Linked DNA regions of Arabidopsis thaliana. The main gene of each other region encodes a partner of the protein of the gene in region 3 in a complex. Each region holds a gene or a part of one and is shown on either strand. Other genes may lie near its edges. A codon is read from its position in the direction of its gene.

The links.
Region 1: the proteins of AT3G27360 (region 3) and AT4G31880 are in contact, whole or in part, in a crystal structure (PDB 7DE9), measured with the Arabidopsis thaliana proteins. Residues at the interface, in NP_189372.1 of Arabidopsis thaliana: Ala2 (codon at 2,584), Arg3 (codon at 2,587), Thr4 (codon at 2,590), Lys5 (codon at 2,593), Gln6 (codon at 2,596); in NP_194916.2 of Arabidopsis thaliana: Val615 (codon at 5,650), Trp616 (codon at 5,653), Trp617 (codon at 5,656), Pro618 (codon at 5,659), Met619 (codon at 5,662), Asp620 (codon at 5,665), Tyr624 (codon at 5,853), Tyr642 (codon at 6,064), Asp644 (codon at 6,070), Asp646 (codon at 6,076), Glu648 (codon at 6,082), Leu650 (codon at 6,088), Gln655 (codon at 6,103).
Region 2: the proteins of AT3G27360 (region 3) and AT3G43240 are in contact, whole or in part, in a crystal structure (PDB 6LQE), measured with the Arabidopsis thaliana proteins. Residues at the interface, in NP_189372.1 of Arabidopsis thaliana: Ala2 (codon at 2,584), Arg3 (codon at 2,587), Thr4 (codon at 2,590), Lys5 (codon at 2,593), Gln6 (codon at 2,596), Thr7 (codon at 2,599), Ala8 (codon at 2,602), Arg9 (codon at 2,605); in NP_189910.2 of Arabidopsis thaliana: Glu675 (codon at 6,506), Ser683 (codon at 6,618), Thr684 (codon at 6,621), Ala685 (codon at 6,624), Gly686 (codon at 6,627), Asp687 (codon at 6,630), Trp688 (codon at 6,633), Val689 (codon at 6,636), Asn690 (codon at 6,639), Trp697 (codon at 6,660), Phe711 (codon at 6,702), Tyr714 (codon at 6,792), Ala715 (codon at 6,795), Gly719 (codon at 6,807), Leu720 (codon at 6,810), Glu721 (codon at 6,813), Tyr722 (codon at 6,816).

What each region holds. Positions count from the first base shown.
Region 1 is NC_003075.7:15,417,925-15,426,470, reverse strand, and holds AT4G31880 (transcriptional regulator), read left to right. Parts: upstream 1-2,159; 5' UTR 2,160-2,531; coding exon 2,532-2,633; intron 2,634-2,916; coding exon 2,917-3,120; intron 3,121-3,205; coding exon 3,206-3,387; intron 3,388-3,719; coding exon 3,720-3,846; intron 3,847-3,921; coding exon 3,922-4,113; intron 4,114-4,229; coding exon 4,230-4,268; intron 4,269-4,376; coding exon 4,377-5,222; intron 5,223-5,313; coding exon 5,314-5,427; intron 5,428-5,613; coding exon 5,614-5,672; intron 5,673-5,848; coding exon 5,849-5,900; intron 5,901-6,057; coding exon 6,058-6,141; intron 6,142-6,218; coding exon 6,219-6,268; intron 6,269-6,372; coding exon 6,373-6,435; intron 6,436-6,528; coding exon 6,529-7,036; 3' UTR 7,037-7,524; downstream 7,525-8,546. UniProt on the Arabidopsis thaliana protein: Cohesin cofactor dispensable during the meiotic division but playing an important role in DNA repair by homologous recombination (HR) probably by helping SMC5/SMC6 complex.
Region 2 is NC_003074.8:15,208,809-15,216,927, reverse strand, and holds AT3G43240 (ARID/BRIGHT DNA-binding domain-containing protein), read left to right. Parts: upstream 1-1,980; 5' UTR 1,981-2,487; coding exon 2,488-2,640; intron 2,641-2,884; coding exon 2,885-3,076; intron 3,077-3,293; coding exon 3,294-3,347; intron 3,348-3,435; coding exon 3,436-3,524; intron 3,525-3,655; coding exon 3,656-3,932; intron 3,933-4,039; coding exon 4,040-4,096; intron 4,097-4,227; coding exon 4,228-4,259; intron 4,260-4,406; coding exon 4,407-4,542; intron 4,543-4,628; coding exon 4,629-4,802; intron 4,803-5,201; coding exon 5,202-5,441; intron 5,442-5,635; coding exon 5,636-5,938; intron 5,939-6,014; coding exon 6,015-6,152; intron 6,153-6,233; coding exon 6,234-6,332; intron 6,333-6,427; coding exon 6,428-6,528; intron 6,529-6,616; coding exon 6,617-6,707; intron 6,708-6,788; coding exon 6,789-6,896; 3' UTR 6,897-7,097; downstream 7,098-8,119. Other genes in the region: AT3G43250 (coiled-coil protein (DUF572)), read right to left, coding at 1-215; AT3G43230 (RING/FYVE/PHD-type zinc finger family protein), read right to left, coding at 7,329-7,513, 7,648-7,843, 7,937-8,119.
Region 3 is NC_003074.8:10,128,340-10,132,449, reverse strand, and holds AT3G27360 (Histone superfamily protein), read left to right. Parts: upstream 1-2,512; 5' UTR 2,513-2,580; coding exon 2,581-2,991; 3' UTR 2,992-3,345; downstream 3,346-4,110. Other genes in the region: SDH2-1 (succinate dehydrogenase 2-1), read left to right, coding at 1-450, 1,076-1,241; AT3G27355 (Hop-interacting protein), read left to right, coding at 3,912-4,110. UniProt on the Arabidopsis thaliana protein: Core component of nucleosome. Nucleosomes wrap and compact DNA into chromatin, limiting DNA accessibility to the cellular machineries which require DNA as a template.

The DNA of each region.
Region 1 (8,546 bases), on a different chromosome or scaffold from region 3:
AAAGTAAAAAAGCCAAATTGGTCTACTAGGCTTAGCGTGAAAAGTATTGTTATAAAGTTATAGAGTTTGTTAGCTTTTACTTTTACCAATTTTATCAGCTTTTTTACTATTATTATATGGTTAAATTAATACTGTATCTTTCCACCTTTTTTTTGGCTTATGAGTGAGTACTCATCCTTAAAAAACTTGAGTAAGTTTATATTTTTCTCTTTTGTTAAAAGAGTAATGCTTATATTCGATGTGTACTTTGTAAAAACCCTACAAGATTTTAAGGATGGTCCAAATTTGAAATAGTACACGTCTAAAATAATTAACAACATAATTGAAAGGTGGGAGAGGCATGTGGGAGTGTGAGTGCTTTCATTAAAGACAGTCTACTTTATTTAAGTTTTGATATGATCTACTGTTATGGAGAACACTCTTCTTCGGCTACTAAAAGCTGCACTAGCTGTCTCTGGATATCGACAACATACTTATCTTATCTATTGCCGTTTCATTTCTATAATAGTTAGTTTTGCCATGCTCGATTAATCTAGATTTTACATATTAGTTTTGGCATAGTAGTGTTACTTATACTCCTTTTCTAATAATACATTTGAAATTTGAATATCACATTGTTTATACTTCTAGTATCTATCCTCTTTAATTTTTCTGGTTAAATATACCTGCCCCCTTATACTTTAATGTGTAAACATGCTACAAAATCATCTCATTCACATTGTTAGAGAATGGTACGATATGAAACGTGTATAAGTCTCTGTAACCGCTTAAACTTGTCGCTATCTTCTTCCGTGGGAATGCGAACTCAAGCAAATTCCCCAAGAAAAGTCATCTTTGCTCTTCACATACACCGACACCTACTACCACCAGTGCTTATAATATTCTATAATTTTCAACATTGTTGTTTATAATTTGGTATAAGAAAGTAATATGTTTTTTTTGACAGAAAATATATGCTTAGAGGGGTTTTCTATAAGGTCTTATTAGAATATGATGACAACATTTTAACGTCTTTTTTTTTCTCTATCTGGGTGAAGACTACCTTTGCGACGAGTGAGAGAGGAGGTAGCTAGCGATAAAGTAATTTTTTTTTTTTTTTTTCAAGTACTTAGCAATCAAAATGTGCTACCTAGCAAATTATCACTATTTTTTAGTAATGTTTAATATTTGCATACAAACCCTCTTATGGGCTTCTCGACGATGCTAGGAATCTGATTTGGGCCTAATGTTAGATTAGCCCGTTTGTGTTTCATATAGGGTTTCTGAGCAGCCTAACTATTGGGCTGCACGCTTGAGGTTTGAGTAATTCTACTAACCAAGTGTTAATTAGCTATAGACATGAGAGACAATAGGTAAATAATAAACTGGAGGCCCTTTAATATGTGTACATACGATAACGATGACTATATTATACAGTGTTAGTCCTACAAAATTCAAAACTTATTTCTATGTTTTGGGACAACATGCTTAGGAATAAATGATTTTTTTTTTTCTTTTTCTTAAACCGCTTAATATTTTTTCTTTCATCCAGTTTTTAGTTGTTGAATCTTATATTTGATTTCATGTTAATGCAATATGAATCGTTATAGTTTATGGATCTGTTAACGATAAATTTAATAATCTATGTTTCTTTTTAGAGTTCTATCTAGGTCTATATTCCCAACATCTTAATATACCAAATAGTACATATGTAGAATCAAAAAAACAATCTAATATAGAATCGTATAAACTTAATAGTGACAAAATCTTATTAAAATTGAATCTTACCAAATTCTTATTTTTCTTCTTTAATATGTCAACTACAAATTTCTACATATATTTGTTTTTCAGGATTTTATCCTTTATACTCATTTTTATTTTATTTTTCATATGCTTCATGTGAGTCTGGTTGATAAAAAAGCAAATAATACTCACAAAATATATAAAAATCGGATATGAAAGCAAATAATGAGCTAACCTGAGTTTATAATCTAAAGTAAAATCCGAAATAAAGGGAAAAAATCGCAATACTGGATTTCCTTGATTTTTGTATTCCATTTTTCTATAAAAAAATTCCATAAAAGAGAAAGAGAAATAAAAATAAATGAAGAAACACATCTCGTCAAATAGACGACCAACTAATAAATTGCCGTACACCAAATATTAAATACATCCCATTTTTTTATTTAAAGATTATATATATATCTTTTTAACGGCGCTTGAGGACTCTCCTATTTTTCTTTACTTTTTTTTTTCTTTAGTTTTCTGTAAACTGTTAAGATTGAGAGAGAGCGAACAAAAAAAAAAAAAAGAGAGAGCGGAGAGAAGAAAAAAAACCCTAGCGTGTTGTTCAGTGACTTTGGGGGGAAAATTTCTCGTAGTTTCTTCGCTAAATCCGTCTTCTCATCTCTTTCCATTTGTGGAATTCAATGGAAGCTTTAGGTTTTTGGTGCTGAGAATTCTCTGTTTTCGAATCTAGGGTTTGTAGAGGAGATCTATTCAATTGTAGATACGCAAGAGCGAAACGAGTCAGAAAACTAGGAGAAGGAGTCATGTCGGATTCTGATAAAGAGCTCGAGAATCAGATTATTGAAGCTGGGGAAAAGCTTATTGACCCGCCTTCTTCACTCGATGAGCTTCTCTCTTTCCTTGACGTGAGCTCTCATCTCCTTCACCACCCCCTTTTGTTTCTTTCTCTTTTATTTTGGTCTTCTTCTTCGGATTCGTGGCAATGCTAAGTCTGTGCATGTGTTTACTCTCGATTTCTGGATTTAATGCTCTGTTTCCTTCGTCTCTTTTACTCTCTGAATCTACTCAAATGCTTTTATTCCTGCATTTTAGATCTTAGTTACGGTTGTTTCTCGGTTTGGGATAAAAATCCCTGTGGTTTTGGAGTTAGTGAGTTTGATTGATGATCCTTGTGCTTTATTTCTGCAGAAACTTTTCGTATCCCTGGCGGAGGTTGAACAGTCACCTCCCGACTCAATGCAGAATGCACTCACTCCATTGATGAAAGGATTAGTCGGTGGAAAACTCTTCAAGCATTCAGATGTCGATGTCAAAGTTGCTGTCGCTGCCTGCATCAGTGAGATTACAAGAATAACTGCTCCTGATGCTCCTTATGATGATGACCAGATGAAGGTATGTAGTTGTTTGTTATTTTTTTCTTGAGGGAGTGGACATTATGCTGGTTGGTTACTGACTCTTTTCTTCTATTCATGTGCAGGAAGTATTCAAGTTGATTGTATCATCATTTGAAGATCTGGTTGACAAATCTAGTCGTTCCTATGCTAAAAGGATATCTATCCTTGAAACTGTGGCTAAGGTCAGGTCATGTGTTGTGATGTTGGATCTTGAGTGTGATGCACTTCTTATTGAGATGTTCCAGCATTTCCTCAAGGCTATAAGGTACACTCTAATATATCCATTATGCTAGAATTAAACTCATTGTTTTTTCATCTTGTAATGTAATGTCCAGGAAATACACATACATGGAATTGTCTACTTGTTTATTTCCCTGTTGTTCCTTTATTTCCTTGTGTCATGTTTGATTAATGGATGTTGTTGTTCTCATTTGATATCATTTCATTCATGTCGTTCTACCTATCCATGGACTATGCTACTTTACTTTATGTACTCGCAATATAGTTCACAACTAGTCTATTGCTTGTTGCTTATGTTTGCTTGTACAACATCCAATAAGTATGTTTGTCTGATGTTGAACTTGTTTACCCTTTCAGGGACCATCATTCAGGGAATGTATTTTCATCTATGGAGAACATAATGACCCTTGTTTTAGAAGAAAGCGAGGATATACCTTCAGAGATGCTTTCACCAATCCTACATTCTGTTAAAAAGGATGATGAGGTAATACATGGATGGTCTACTGATTTTCTATCACCAACCAATGCTCTTTTGTTAAATCTTTTAACTTATCAACAGATTTCCCAAGTATCACGGAGGTTGGCAGAACAAGTTCTCAGTAACTGTGCTAGCAAGCTCAAAACTTATCTGACCGAAGCAGTGAAATCGTCGGGTGTCCCTCTAGATAAGTATAGTAACATAGTGGCTTCGATATGTGAAGGGACATTCAGTGCTTTGCAGCAAGACCAAGTTGTTGCAAATGAAAAAGAAGTAAGCCTTTATTTCTCACCTTTTTTACTGCCGCACTGCCTCAACTTTTTTAGTGATTATGCAGGTCTTCAGTTACATTAGCTCTTATACTGTTCTTCCATATTTTTCCTCTCCAGGATAGTCAAGGTCATATAAAAAGGGAAACGGAAGTAGAGGTACGATAGTCATTGTTGATTTGTATGAAAAGGATAGATGCCTTTCTTCTTTTAGCTTTTGTAGATTGTTAATTGATTTTTATGTTCCAATTAAAACATGATAAACAGAAGGCAGCAGAAATTTCTACCCCTGAGCGAACTGATGCACCTAAGGATGAATCTGGTAAGTCTGGAGTTAGCAATGGTGTCGCGCAACAGAATGATTCTTCGGTTGATACTGATTCCATGAAGAAGCAAGACGATACGGGTGCCAAAGATGAGCCGCAGCAACTTGATAATCCTAGAAACACTGACTTGAATAATACTACTGAAGAGAAGCCTGATGTTGAACATCAAATTGAGGAAAAGGAAAACGAATCTAGTTCTGTCAAACAGGCGGATTTATCAAAAGATTCAGATATCAAAGAAGAGACTGAACCTGCAGAACTCCTGGACAGCAAGGATGTGTTAACTTCGCCTCCTGTTGATTCATCTGTTACCGCAGCCACCTCTTCTGAAAATGAAAAGAATAAAAGTGTGCAGATTTTACCATCTAAGACATCAGGAGATGAAACTGCCAATGTCAGTTCTCCGTCAATGGCTGAGGAACTTCCTGAGCAAAGCGTCCCTAAGAAGACTGCAAACCAGAAGAAAAAGGAGAGCTCGACAGAGGAGGTCAAACCTTCTGCTTCTATTGCTACCGAAGAAGTTTCTGAAGAACCAAACACGTCTGAACCTCAGGTGACAAAAAAGTCTGGAAAGAAGGTTGCTTCGTCAAGTAAAACAAAGCCTACTGTTCCTCCTTCAAAGAAAAGCACCTCTGAGACAAAAGTAGCCAAGCAGTCAGAGAAAAAGGTAGTTGGGAGTGATAATGCACAAGAATCCACAAAGCCAAAAGAGGAAAAGAAAAAACCAGGACGTGGGAAAGCCATTGATGAGGAGTCATTACACACTTCATCTGGTGATAATGAAAAAGTGAGTAGTTCCCTGACCTGAATTGATTCGAATACATATCTGACTTCCCTGTCCTTGTCCTCTTACCGATATGGTTTAATTTTATTTTCAGCCAGCTGTTTCCTCCGGAAAGCTAGCCTCAAAATCAAAGAAAGAAGCGAAGCAAACGGTAGAAGAAAGTCCTAATTCAAACACAAAGAGAAAACGAAGTTTAGGCCAAGGGAAGGTATGTTTTCTTCACTTCACCAATTGCCATTTGCAGTAGTAATTGTGCATGGGAGCAGCTTCTTATTCTCTTCAAGTTGAAGAAATATTCTCTGAAACGATTATCCTTTAATTGTACTGGTTTCCTTTGCTCTGTACGAGTTTTTCTTTTTGTATACTTTTTCATACCGAATCAATTCTTGGGCAGGCATCTGGTGAAAGTTTAGTTGGATCGAGGATCAAAGTCTGGTGGCCTATGGATCAAGCGTAAGCATTTTGTATTTTCTTCTTAGGAATTATATTTGATTTACAAGAAGGCAATTTGCATTTTCTCTGTTCTGGACTTCTATGTTTGTTCCTTTAGACAGCAGAATCTGGACTACCTGTTATTGTAATTTTTTGTTTTCTATGCTTTCAAATGAGTAATCTGTTTTTTACCGCAGGTACTATAAAGGTGTGGTCGAGTCATATGATGCTGCAAAGAAGAAACATCTGGTAAGCCCAATTTTATCCGTCTCCCCTATTTTGGTTCGCCTGATTTGTTTGTGGTCAACCAGTAGCCTTTTGAATGTTCTCCTAAGCTATACATCTTTGTTTCAGGCCTTTTTATGGTATTTTAATTGTTGTATGCTGTTGCCATGTTCGTTTGCAGGTTATCTATGATGATGGAGATCAAGAAATCTTGTATCTCAAGAATCAGAAGTGGAGTCCTCTGGATGAATCAGAATTGTCACAGGTGGGGCATTATATTTCATCCATCTCTGGCTTTTTTTGCTCTTCGCCTATTTTGTAACTTACACTTTCTGTCATCAGGATGAAGAAGCTGCTGATCAGACGGGTCAAGAGGAAGATGCCTCTACAGTGTACGTGTTACTTCTTTAGTTCCGTTGTTTATGTGGCACTGGAAGGAATAGCTAGATGTCATCTTTTTACTTGTGATGACCAAGCTTAGCATTTTGTCATGCAGGCCCCTGACGAAGAAAGCTAAGACAGGCAAGCAATCAAAGATGGACAACTCATCAGCTAAAAAGTAATTGAAACTGAAAGCAAATAGTTAACAAGTGTTGAAGTCTCTAAAATAATTCTCTACTAATACGTAATATTGTACTTCTGATGTATTCAGGGGTAGTGGAGCTGGATCAAGCAAGGCTAAAGCTACTCCTGCTTCCAAGTCCAGCAAGACGTCCCAGGATGACAAAACAGCGAGCAAATCGAAGGATTCAAAGGAAGCTAGCAGAGAAGAGGAGGCGAGCTCTGAGGAGGAGAGCGAGGAAGAGGAACCCCCCAAAACCGTTGGTAAATCAGGAAGCAGCAGGTCGAAGAAAGATATAAGCAGCGTATCGAAATCTGGGAAATCTAAAGCTTCATCCAAGAAAAAGGAAGAGCCCTCCAAGGCAACAACTTCTTCAAAATCCAAGTCGGGACCTGTGAAATCTGTACCTGCCAAAAGCAAGACAGGAAAGGGTAAAGCAAAATCTGGTTCTGCGTCTACACCTGCTTCGAAGGCCAAAGAGAGCGCTTCCGAGTCAGAATCTGAAGAGACACCCAAGGAGCCAGAACCAGCAACTAAAGCGAAATCAGGCAAGTCACAGGGGAGTCAATCAAAGTCCGGTAAGAAGAGGAAGCGATGAGTGTCTGGGCTTGTGCTCTTTTCTCTTTTGAATTATGATGGTTTATGTAATTTAAGGTGGAAAGCGATAAGCGTGTGGTGGGTAATGGTGGCCGTGAAATTGAACATCGTCTTGAGCAGTAGAAGTGTAGAATTGTTTTAAAGACAAACGTCTAGTAGTGATGCTTTTTTATTTACTTAGGTTTTGATTTCAGATGTAGTTTGTGTTAAGGTGGATACATAAGGAGGTTGCTTTGGTTATTTTCATTTCATTTTATTTTTTGACCCACGTTTTTCTGTCATCTATCTCTCCCTCTCTTTGGAGTGTTGCAGAGAAAATTTGGGCAGAAAAAAAAAGAAAAGGGAAACACATTCCGACGATTATTAGCCTGTTATCTTCCTAAATCATCATTTGAATTTGACTCGAGTGTTTATGTTGAGTTATGGATTTGTGCTGCTATTCGTAACCCTGGTTTGGGAACATTAGACAAGAAAATAGTTTGAATGCTTTCTAATGTGTATGTATATCCACCAGTACTGGGTAAATCGGCAGGTTCTCTAGTAACTTCAAAAAAATTGCTATTTTTTGAAAATGTTACTGTACCAAAAACTTTAAAATATGGGGCAAAGTGAAACTCGTTGTGACTGGGAGTTGTGTAGTCTTGTATACTCAGAGATTTTCCTATCTTATCTTTGTAATTTAATACTATGATTTGTTTCTAGATGAAACAAAGACTTTTCTTACGAATATATGTGTGGTTTACGAAATGCTCGGAGATTCCTAAAAGGATACCCAATGTTTGCTTCCCATATTTAAGGAATATTCCATTTACATTAGCCATACGTAGGATTTAAAACTTTTAATTTATCAACAAGCCTTGCAATGAAGGACCTTAGGCCAGTAGATCTGAGGTCTTAGATGGGGTTTTATAGTATTTTTTTGCGCATAAAGTTGCAAGTTATACATTATTTCTTTCATTTTTTCAGGAAAAGAAAAAGTAACAAACTAATAGTAAGAGATGTTTAATTAAAACAAGATCTAGAGACATTAACAAACGGAAAAGAAACATTATTGTTATGCGTATAAAAAAATAGATGTAATACATTGGTGAATGGGATAACATGTGGTCCATGATCCCATACTCTCTCTCATTTCTCACTTTTCATAGGCCCAGATGAAATATGGGTAAAATGTAAACACACGATTCGTTTATTAAAAACCTAATTAGAAAAATGATTTTTTGCGTTCTGTGAACTGGTTTTATCCAACATAAATATATTTTAAGAACTCTTTTGATTTGTATTAAGGTAGACTACTAGACTCCGAGCAACTATCTTTTTTTTTTTTTTTAATATAGATGATCTGCTTCGTTTTTTCGGTTATGAAGATAACCAGACATTTGATGTTTTGATAGATATTATAATCATAATCTAAATTTGACATGCAATATAGTTTAATTTTTAAAACATATAAAAAAAGCGATCATAATATCTTGTAATATTTACTTCAAAAATTTATATTTCGAATGTGC
Region 2 (8,119 bases), 5.1 Mb from region 3:
TTTAGACCTAGGTACGTCTCGGTGATGACGTCTTCTTGACGGCAATTGAATTTGGTGCCTTCCGACATGTAATTACCACATGTGTTGCAGCGAACACGAACTGGAAGCATAAATCTAATCTTTTTCTGCTGGTTCTTCGGTTTCTTGATGCGGTGTATCTTCTTCGGATCAAAATCTGGCGGATAATACTTGTTTAGGTTTTTGCGTTCTCCCATAACTTCAGAGCATACAAAGAAGAAGAATCAAACGTTTACCAAAAAAAGAAGAGAAGCGAATCTAACTTCTCTCTTGATATATCTCTATTGCTCTGTCTCTTCTTCTCTCTTGTATTTTTTGTTTGGATGATCCTTAAAAGTTATGAGACATTCTCTTTATATAGCCGAAGATGAAGTTGCTATGTTTCTTCTTTTTTTTGCTTGGCCGACTTATAGAAAAAGGCAAAACAAATAACACGTTTATTTTGTAATTTTCAACTTTTATTTATACATAACGACTTAACGTAAAGTTTTATGCTTTCATCCAGCAAAGAATTACAATATGTTTATCTATAGATCTCACACGAGGCCCAAATTTATAAATTGATGAGTAAACACATAAACTATTTAACAAAATTAGTATTATACTCATAAAAATAATGTTATAATATACATCAATATATATATATATATATATATATATATATATATATATATTTAAATTAAGATAAGAAAAATGTAAATACTTTAAACTAAGAAATTATAAGATATCATGATCGTCTAGATTTTCATTATTTACATAATTTTGATATAGTCGATCACATCGATTTTTCAATACGCTCCAACAAACTCATAGATAGTAACACATGTGAGATTAAGTCCCATGTATAGATAACAACAATCACAATATGTATATTCTTTGTTTTAGTATAGAACATAGGTAATGACAATGTTTTACACTAAGATAGAATATACATATTGTTAGTGTAGCTTTTACCAATGACAACAACACAAGGCGGCTAATAAAAAGCAGCACAATGCGTACATTCAGCTAGGATGGCTCAAAGTCAATGAGAAATGTCAAATATATACGACCCAGGAAAGTAACACTCCAGTACTTCACGATATGTAACAGAAAGATGGAAAAATGATTTTTCACAAATATATCCAAGCTTTATATGCCTAGGCAAAAAACCCGAATCTAAAGAACTGAATCGAATCCGATCCGAAAAACGTGATCCAAACTCGAATCCGAAATTTTAGAATACCCAAACGGATTTTAAACTTCAAAACCCGAAACCGATTTGAATCTAAATCCGATCAAGTATCCAAATATATCCAAAATATATATACCTAGAAATGACTAATTAGTAATAATTACATATACAACAACTTAAGTGCATAAACATTAAACATTTAGATTTTAAAATATTTTATATATTTTTGGATACTTTACCTATTTTCGATAGATTTGGATAAAAAATACTAACGTTTTTTTTAGAAATTTTGTGTATTTTCAAGTAATTTGAATATATTTTGATATAAATCTTAAATTTTGGATATTCCGGATAAACTTGAATTCAAACCCGAAAAACTTGGTCTGAACCCGATCCAAACCCGATCTAAACCCGAAATCTTTCAATACCCGAACAGATCTTAGAATTCTAAATCTAAAATATCCAAACCCAAATATCTTGATCTGAATCCGATTCGAATATCAGACCGCCCAGGCTTACTTTGTAATACAATTATCAAAAATAAGTTTGACCGACCAGCATGGTAAAAGTCTTGCGGTTGCGGTCAAATAACAAGTGTAGGGAAGAGGATGTCTATACTCGCTCTATCTGGACAAGAGACAGACGATGATCAAAGTGTAGAACTTGGAAGTTCCAAGTAAAATGAACATATCTTCTTAAAAGTCTCTTACATCCTCATGATGATGTTCGTTGGTTTTAGCTCCTAAAGAGTTAAACGAAGCTTTGAATTAAAACACGATTAAAAGATGTGAAACAAAACAAAAAAAAACACAAAAAAAAACCAAACACAACAACATTTTTAGTTGTTGTTGTTAATTAATTCCTCTGTTTGGTTTTTTAGTTAAATTTCTCTTACCTTTTGATTAACAATTTTGCTTTGATTTTAGTGTTACAAAGATAAACACTGTAGAGTATTATTATTATTATAGCTTCTTAAAAGAAAAGATTCATCAATTTGTTTATTGTTGTTCTTCAGATTTTTTCTAAATTTTAATCTTTTGTGTTTGTGATCTTTTGTGATGGGCCTCTTCTCTCTGTTTAGGTTTCTCTTTTTCCAATAAAATTCGTCTTCTTCTTTTCTGGGTACCGTCGATTTCTTCCTACGAGTTCGAAATTAGGGTTTTTTTCTTCTTCTTAGGGCTGATTTTGAGGTCGAGTAGTGGGTTCTTAACGAACTTATTCGTTGAATTTCTTTAGGGTTTTCTTTGTGGTCTAGTTTCATAGAGAGATTAGAAGTTTGGTTATGCTATTGAACGATGTTTCATGGACAAGGGTTTTCGAGAAACCGTTGTAATGTTGTGGCAGTTGTTTCTGGAGCAGAGCTTTGCGATACTAATAACCAGATAGATGGAACTTCTCATCAACCCAAATACCCTTTTCCAGATCTCTCTTCTTCAGGGCGTCTCAAGGTAAAAACACTTTTCTAATTCTCGTAATTGATTTGCTAGATTGTTGGTTGAAAGTTGGAACCTTTAGTAAGTTTAGACAATGTTGAACTAAGTTTGGGAATTGTTAGCTGGTGAGAGTTGTTGCTATAGGTTGTGTTGCTTGAGGCCTTTAGAAATTGGTAGACTTGATGGGAGAATCTTGGTTCTAAGTGATTTCTTAATGGAGATGTTAAAGCATTTGGTGTATGCTTTTTTCATGTTGTAGTTTCAGGTACTGAATAATCCTACGCCGGAGGAGTTCCAGGTTGCTGTTAACTCTTCAGCAACGGATTTTGTGTACTTGCAAGGGGAACATAGTGGAGATAGTGATGAAGTTGGTCCCTTAGTGTTGGGATATACTGATTTTTCTACTCCTGATGCCTTGGTTACTCTGTTTGGTTCCACATTACCGACAACGGTAGGTGCATCATTCGTTGTTTTACGTTTCTCGTTTTTAGTTAAGGATTTCCTTTTACGTTGATGCCTCATGCCACTAAGATTTTCTTAATAAATCGCTGTTAGTCTCTTGACAATGTGCTTAAAAGGCTCCATAGAGTATCCTCTACATGAATGTTAAAACATTTTCCATACCTAGTGAGATATTAATATGTTTTGGCATCATATTGTTTTCACAGGTTTACCTTGAGCTCCCAAATGGTGAAGAATTAGCTCAAGCACTCTACTCTAAGGTACACCACTCTTGATAAGCACCTTTCACTTTTCTTCTTATTACCTCTTTGTTGCTCTATTTCACCTAATGGTGATTTTCTTTTGCAGGGTGTTCAATATGTTATTTATTGGAAAAATGTTTTCTCGAAATATGCAGCCTGCCATTTTCGCCATTCTCTGTTTTCAGTCATACAGAGGTAATTGTTTACTCGAGCATCTGACATAGCGACAAGCCTTAATTTTAGTCTGATTTACATCTATATTTTATATAGTTTTTTCCCCTAGTCTACAAATTTATTTGACAGTGATATGCTCTTTGGCAATGCAGTTCGTGCAGCGATACATGGGATGTGTTCCATGTTGCAGAAGCATCTTTCCGACTCTATTGTACAAGTGACAATGCTGTCCTTCCTTCTAACAGCAACCGTAAAATGAATTATGAGATGGGACCTTGCTTGCTTGGAGAACCTCCAAAGATTGATGTGGTTTCACCGGAAGCTGATGAACTAGAAGAGGAAAATTCATTAGAGAGCCTCCCATCAATAAAGATATATGATGAAGATGTTACTGTGAGGTTTCTTTTGTGTGGACCACCATGCACAGTGGTGGGTGTTGTTGACCTTCTCGCGCATTTTATGATACTGGCTTGTTTGTGCAGATGTTAGTATTTCTTTATGCTATCTTCAGTTACAAAGCTTTTTCTCTATTTCAGGATACATTTTTACTGGGATCTTTGATGGATGGACTTAATGCTCTCTTGCGAATAGAAGTGAGTAGTTGGTAGTTTACAGTTTTGATATTTCTTCATTAGTGCGCATACTAAAATGTATGGATGGACTTAATTGTATATGTCTTCTTTTAGTCCTTTTAAAAGAACGTTATTTTTTTATATTGTTCCAGATGCGAGGAAGTAAGCTCCATAACCGTTCTAGGTATGTAATTTCTATAGCCAAATGATATGTTGCGCATCCCTCGAATAACCTTAAGATTAATCATCTATGGTTTTGTGCCTTTTGACTTAGTTTTAAGACGTACTTGGTTACTTTTCATTTTTTTGCTGATCAAAATTGAAACTGCAGTGCTCCAGCACCTCCTCTTCAAGCAGGAACATTTACTCGTGGTGTAGTGACCATGCGTTGTGATGTCTCGACCTGTTCTTCAGCACACATATCAATGCTTGTGTCTGGAAATGCGCAGACCTGTTTCAGTGATCAGGCAAGGGATTATATCTTTTGAAATATAGCTTATCTCTGCATACATGTGCAATGGGATTTATTATTAATCTCCTATGTAAATATCAGCTTTTGGAAAATCACATAAAACATGAGGTCGTTGAGAAGATCCAACTAGTCCATTCAGTGGTGAACTCAGAAGAAACAAAGCGGGGTTTCTCTGAGCCTCGTAGATCTGCCTCAATAGCTTGTGGAGCAAGTGTGTGTGAAGTTTCGATGCAAGTCCCAACATGGGCTCTGCAGGTTAATAATCTCTTTCTTTCCTCGACTTATATTTGTTGTAGATAGTAATCTTTAGCCCAATTATTTATCTCATGCACCTTGTTTCCAAGTTTCTCAACAATTTAGTCAGCCAAAGTAGTCACAAGAGTTTCAGATGAAAAGTTTGTTATGAAATTGTAACGGGTAGAAATAAAGGCTTTTCATGTTTCTTAACGTTTAACTCAAGCTTTGGGATGTCCAAGGACCATTTTTCGTGCTTTATTGCTTTCACTCTTTATTCATGATACTTGTGCATTTTAAGTGATTACATCCAGATAGTCATGTGATTTACATTCTCTTTGGGTTCTCAGGATTTTTTGCGTTTCATGAGTTTCCACTTGCTAATGCGTGACTAAGAAAAGGTTATTTTGCTTTCGACAGGTTTTAAGACAGTTGGCGCCGGATGTGTCATACCGCAGTTTAGTCGTTCTTGGAGTAGCTAGCATTCAGGGGTTGTCTGTTGCTTCCTTTGAGAAAGATGATGCAGAACGTTTACTTTTCTTCTGCGGACAACAGATCAATGATACTTCAAATCATGATGCTCTTTTATCCAAAATTCCTAACTGGTTAACACCTCCTTTGCCAACCAGAAAAAGATCCGAGCCATGCAGAGAAAGTAAGGTACTGTTTCGGATATCGCAGGTTGAAACTTTCTCTCTATACAAAATGTTAATTTGGAATTATTCTTTGTTCATGAGCTAGACTCTATGATTTCAACTCTAATCAGGGATAAGTTTTGTGGCCATACTTCTGCCAAATGTTCATCAGTCTTCATGTATATACTGATTGGATGCTGTGACAATATTTATATTCAGGAAATTGAAAACGGAGGACCTACATCAAGGAAAATCAACGTGGCTGCTTTGAGACCAATACCTCACACCCGTCGACATAAGATGATACCTTTCTCTGGTTACTCTGAAATTGGAAGATTTGATGGTGACCACACCAAAGGAAGCTTGCCTATGCCTCCAAAGCATGGTGCATCAGGTGGCACTCCAGTAACTCACCGTAAAGCTTTCTCTGGTTCGTACCAGAGAAAGCAAATCATCTCACTAAACCCTCTACCTTTAAAAAAACACGACTGTGGAAGAGCGCATATTCAAGTTTGCTCAGAGGTTTGCATTGTTTTTCTTGTGATGAATAGTTTGAACTTATAAACTCCTCTTAACATTGCTATCTCTATATATGTAGGAGGAGTTTCTGAGGGATGTAATGCAGTTTCTGCTAATACGAGGACATACCCGGCTAGTTCCTCCAGGGGGACTAGCGGAGTTTCCAGATGCTGTTCTCAACTCAAAACGGCTTGATCTCTTCAACTTGTATAGAGAGGTAGTTAAGCAATGATTTGATTTTGTTCAACCAAGGCAGCCAGCATTACATTTGGTGAGCTAATAATGAGAGTTGTTGCAGGTTGTATCACGGGGAGGGTTCCATGTAGGTAATGGGATCAACTGGAAGGGACAAGTTTTCTCAAAGATGCGCAACCACACACTCACAAACAGAATGACTGTAAATGATTTTGTTTTCTTGTCTCACCACTTGATTTATTCTTGAAAAATCAGAGAATGTATATCTGATCATCAGCTCTGGGGTTATTATGGCAGGGTGTGGGTAATACCCTGAAAAGACACTATGAGACGTATCTATTGGAGTATGAGTATGCTCATGATGATGTAGATGGAGAGTGCTGTTTAATATGTCGCAGGTACATTAAGAACCCTCTCTCTCTCTTGTGTACACGGTTAATAACGCCTTGTTTGTTAACGCGCTTTGGTTTGGTTTGGTTGAAACAGTAGCACAGCTGGTGACTGGGTGAACTGTGGATCATGTGGAGAGTGGGCTCATTTCGGATGTGACAGAAGGCCTGGCCTCGGCGCCTTCAAGGTAACTAAACGAACACATCGTAAACTCGTAATAAGCATCAATGAATAATATGTGTACTGATGCAACATATGATATATACAGGACTATGCAAAAACAGATGGGTTGGAATATGTGTGCCCAAATTGTAGTGTCTCAAATTACAGGAAGAAGTCTCAGAAGACCTCCAACGGTGGCTTGCTTGTACCTTAGCTTTGTACCTTAGGTTCATGTTTCTTCTTTTGTTGTACTTTTGCCTTGGAACCAAATGATTGATTGATTCCTCTAATGTTTCACGAGTTTTTTTGCAATGCAAGGTTTTTTTTCTTTCCATTATCTTTATAATGAATCGGAGAATGTAAAAATAGTGAACGTTATAGATTTTGCATCATATTTAAGGGACTTGCCAATATCATTTTATCTGTAACAAATGAATAGACATGCAAATAGAACCAAGCTTTGATAAACAAGCTTCAAAAAGGTAAACAAGCTTTGATAAAATAAGTAAATCCCAAATCGTTCACACAGTTTGGGGAAGCAACTGTTTGGTTCTAGAGAGAAACAATTTATGTACATTTACACTTTAATAGAAACGAATTTGAGAAGCGTATATATACAAAGCGTAGTTTGTAATGTGAATGGAGATTACGGGCGCAAACGAGCATAGAGCTCTCGGAGGGCGGTGTACAACGGTTCAGCTGCCTTGGGTTGATCCACCATCCCAAGTAGAATGTCCGATGTGGATAGGTATGGATCACCATAGAACTTTACATTCATGTCCCTTCTTGTTGCCACCAGATTTCCTTCTAGAGATACTCCCACAAATGCCCCTGTTCACACAACACAACAACTTCTCTCAGGTTATAGATTTACATTTCAACTTCCTCTGTATTATTGAGCTACGAGTCTGGCCAAATTATAGATAAAGAGAAAACTTAAGGCATGAAGTTGAGATGGGGAAAACCTTTGCTGCGGCTGTAAGTATAGCAGACACCAGAGCCTTTGTCACCAGCTCGAAGGTCAGCCTCCAACACTCTCCCGATAGGCCCTGCTGCTGCACTGCATCCCGCGCCTAGAGAGAAGTGCATTCTGCTGCAGAATGTCTTCACGGCTTTCACATCATGAAGCACTATTATGAAGTCCATCAACTCACCTCCAATCTGACAAAAAGAGTACAAATCTTCTTATGTGGCTATTGAAAACGCATCTTTAACTCTAACATGCATGTCTTGAATGGAAAAGATGAAGTTTACCTGTGCACCCCATCCAAGACCTACTGATAGTATGGCAGATGGAGCAGACCATGACCCGTCTGGTCTCCGAGATATTACCAGACCAGTCCCGAGTTTGTATGACAGTAAAGCCCCAGCCTTGGCAACCGTTATGATTGCCAAACCTTTAGCTCGACTAAGAACAGCATGCGGTATGGATTTCTC
Region 3 (4,110 bases):
AGATTGTGGTCCAATGGTATTAGATGCTTTGATTAAGATCAAAAACGAAATGGATCCATCTCTTACTTTCCGTAGATCATGCCGTGAAGGGATCTGTGGTTCATGTGCTATGAACATTGATGGATGTAACGGACTTGCTTGTTTGACAAAGATTCAAGATGAAGCATCGGAGACGACGATTACACCGTTGCCTCATATGTTTGTGATTAAGGATTTGGTTGTTGATATGACTAATTTTTATAATCAGTATAAGAGTATTGAGCCGTGGTTGAAGAGGAAGACTCCAGCGTCTGTTCCTGCTAAGGAGATTTTGCAGAGTAAGAAGGATAGAGCTAAGCTTGATGGGATGTATGAATGTATTCTTTGTGCTTGTTGTAGCACATCTTGTCCTAGTTACTGGTGGAATCCTGAGTCTTACCTTGGTCCAGCTGCTTTGCTACACGCTAATAGGTAAGTGGGGGAAATGATAGTGTTTGATGATTGTTTCGAGAATTTGCTTGTTGATAATGGATATAGAAGTTGGATTTGTTTGGAGGGATTGGTTGCAAAATTGTAGGACTAGGAAGCTTTAAGCTGCATTGATCCATATATGTTGTTTATTCAAGTCTATTTTGCTGTCTTGGTAAGTGAAAAAAAGATTGTTTGAAGGATTGGTATGTTGAAAATGGATATAGAAGTTGGCTTTTTGGGGAATTGAATTCCAATTGTAGGACTAGGAAACGATTTATCTTGTAGTCTGATTTTGGAGTTTGCATGGATGGTTGGGAAGATTTTGTATATCTTGTTGTTTAGCTGCATTGATTCTCATTCAAGTCTATTTTGATGGAAAGTGGTTGCAAATTGTAGAACTAGGAACCCTTCACTCTTGGAATTTGCTTTCAGAATTTGCATGGATGGTTGGGAAGATTCTCATATATTGTTGTTAGCTGCATTGATTTCACTTATGTGGTTCTTCACTACTGTATTACTGTCTGAATTGTTGTTTTGGTTTAGGAAGCTGATCTATATATGGGGCATTCAATAGAAATTTGACCTTTCGATGTGTTTGTAACAAGAGACTTGTTGGTATGTGTAGGTGGATAAGCGACAGTCGTGATGAGTACACTAAGGAAAGACTTGAGGCTATTGACGACGAGTTCAAGCTTTACCGTTGCCATACAATCTTGAATTGTGCTCGTGCCTGTCCAAAGGGTTTGAACCCAGGAAAACAGATTACTCACATCAAGCAACTTCAGCGTTGAAACAGCTAAGTTTGTGTGCGGGATCCGTTGGGAAACTCATCAGTCTTAACGTTTGAAGCTAATAATCTTCACAAAACCTCTTCGGATTTTCAATTCATTCTTGTATTGTTGTTGCCAAATATTAGCGCCTTAAAAAAACTCGTTTGCAAGTCTTCCCAAGTAGATGAGCTTTGTGGTTGTATCTTGCTGAAAATCTCCTCTTTAAGTAATAAAACTCGAGTAAACTTAAACCTCATCTACTTATCATCTACTCTTTTGTGTTCCCTCTGCATTGGCCTATGATAAAATCATTTCATGTACTTGTGTCTCTGCCTTCTGTACACATGAACACAACGTGATGTATTATCAATCATAGCTTAATCATAGAAAAGTATCAATCATAACTTCCTTGACATTTATGATTGACTGCGTAAGTATAACTGCAAGTACTGATCACACAACAAACAAGAAAGATGACACCGGCAACACTAGCTATATTCTTTGTCTCTTTGGTTACTATTGGAACAGCAACCGATGTTGCTCCAGCAACTAAACAACAGTTTGAGTTCTTTCCGAGCTTGCGGGAGCATCAGAAGTCTCTATTTGTTACTGTGGAAGGTACCATAGCTTCGAATACTAGTTCTAGAAAGTAAAAACAACGATAATGTTTTTTAACTGTGGAAGGTACCATTGCTTTTTGTTGTTGTTCTTCACGTGCAGGCTGCAACAACCATTGCCTAACAGCTTGCTGTGACTGCAACATAGAAAAACAGCCTCCCGTTTGTGTTCAGTGTTGCCCGATTTGAGCCTTGAACTCCTTATGTTCATGTATGTTTGAAGACTAGAGACAATGTAGAAGATTTAAAACACAATTCAGGATGTCAAACTTGTGAAACAGAGGAAGCTTATGTGATATTTTATAAGTAAAAAAAACAGATATCACAAATAGAGAGAGATCAGAGTTTGTATTGTAAAAGCCTACAAATTTTCGCAATCTGTTGATGGAATAAATTCATTGAACAGATCGTAATATCAAAGATGAAAACACTTCTGTCTCACTCAGAGTCTTTGGATCACAAACACCGTTACACATCGCAATAATTAACACGTCATCATAAATATCCCACGTGTAGAATCCTCGACAACTGAAAGAATCACTCTGATTGGTTACTTAACATACGACGCAGATAGCAAAGATAAAAACAATCTTGACCGTTTAGAGGAAAACACATCTAACGGACCAAATTCTCTCTTCTTTGAGTATAAAAAAGCATCCCAACCTCACTCTGTATATACCAATCAAACACGACAGTCTCAACAATCAAAAGCTTCAAATTTTTCATTGTCAAGAATTCTCAAAATGGCTAGAACAAAGCAAACAGCTAGAAAATCCACCGGAGGAAAAGCTCCTAGAAAGCAACTGGCGACGAAAGCAGCAAGGAAATCAGCTCCAGCCACCGGAGGAGTGAAGAAGCCACACAGATTCCGTCCAGGAACAGTAGCGTTACGTGAAATCAGAAAGTATCAAAAAAGCACAGAGCTTTTGATCCGTAAGCTTCCTTTCCAGAGATTGGTTCGTGAGATAGCTCAAGATTTCAAGACGGATCTTAGGTTTCAGAGTAGTGCAGTCGCAGCTCTTCAAGAAGCAGCTGAAGCTTATTTGGTTGGATTGTTTGAAGATACTAATCTTTGTGCTATTCATGCTAAGAGGGTTACGATTATGCCTAAGGATATTCAACTTGCGAGGAGGATTAGAGGTGAGAGGGCTTAAGATTTGAAGAAGATGAAGAAGAAAAACAATGGTCTAGTGTAGATTTGCTTGTTTGCTCTCATAAGATTTGTAGATTCATGTTTTAGATTTGGTTTTGAGTTTTCTTAGTCTTTTGTTCTGAAGTGTCTTCCAGATGTTCGATGAAATGCCCAAATGAAAATTTAATCTACTTTTGCAACTTTCTAAGAATCAGTCTTCAGTTTAACTTATTAGATTTGCAATTGAAGTTGTCATTTTGGTTGTAACTTATTTGTATATTGTTACATCTGTATTCAGGTCTTAGTGACTTGTGTCAAAATGGTTCTAATTTATTGACCAAAGCAGGGTTAATCATTTTATTTTCCTGCAGCATAATCTTCTCTCTGTTATCAAAGTCCTCTTTCAGTGGTGAGAATTATGTGTTATTTTATCGATTAATTCATCACAATAAGTTTAAGAAATTACCAATGTACTGTTGGTCAGTGGTAAATTTTTTAGGTGGAGGTGCTGAGTTCGAGGTGGAAGGTATCTCTTTTCCAAAAGAGTTGAATTTAACCTGATGTAGAGAAGATATATGATTTTTAGATTTGAACTTTCAGATATTAAAAAAAAAAAAGGTTTAAGAAATTGAATCAAAGTTTTTTTAAATTGTGAGTACTAAGTATAAACAATAATGTAACCTCAAATTCTAAATTCATATATGTTCTGTTTTTTTTTTCTTTTCTGTAATGGCAAAGATAAAGAAGTCTTCAATTATTTAAGACCTGCACGTTATCTATAACAACAACTCATTGACTTAACCCACAAACTACTCTTGTTGTTGGATGTTACGTTTTGACTCCATTAAAGCTCTTCTTGGCTTATATATCATTCAAGCTAACTTCCAAATTCGAAAAATCTCTCTCTCTCTTTCATTCTTTCTTTAATATTCGACGGTTGAGATGAGACGACAAGGTCGGCAACATGGTCTTGTCAGAACTTACCGGATTCTTCCACCACCGCTTAACACAAGACCGGTCAACTCTTTGACTTCACCTCAACCTTCTGAGTTATTAACCACATTGCCATCAAAACCAAACAAAGCTCACCGGAAAGTGTGGCCTGGTCAAGTGCATTGGGTGAGATCAAACGACATTGCTT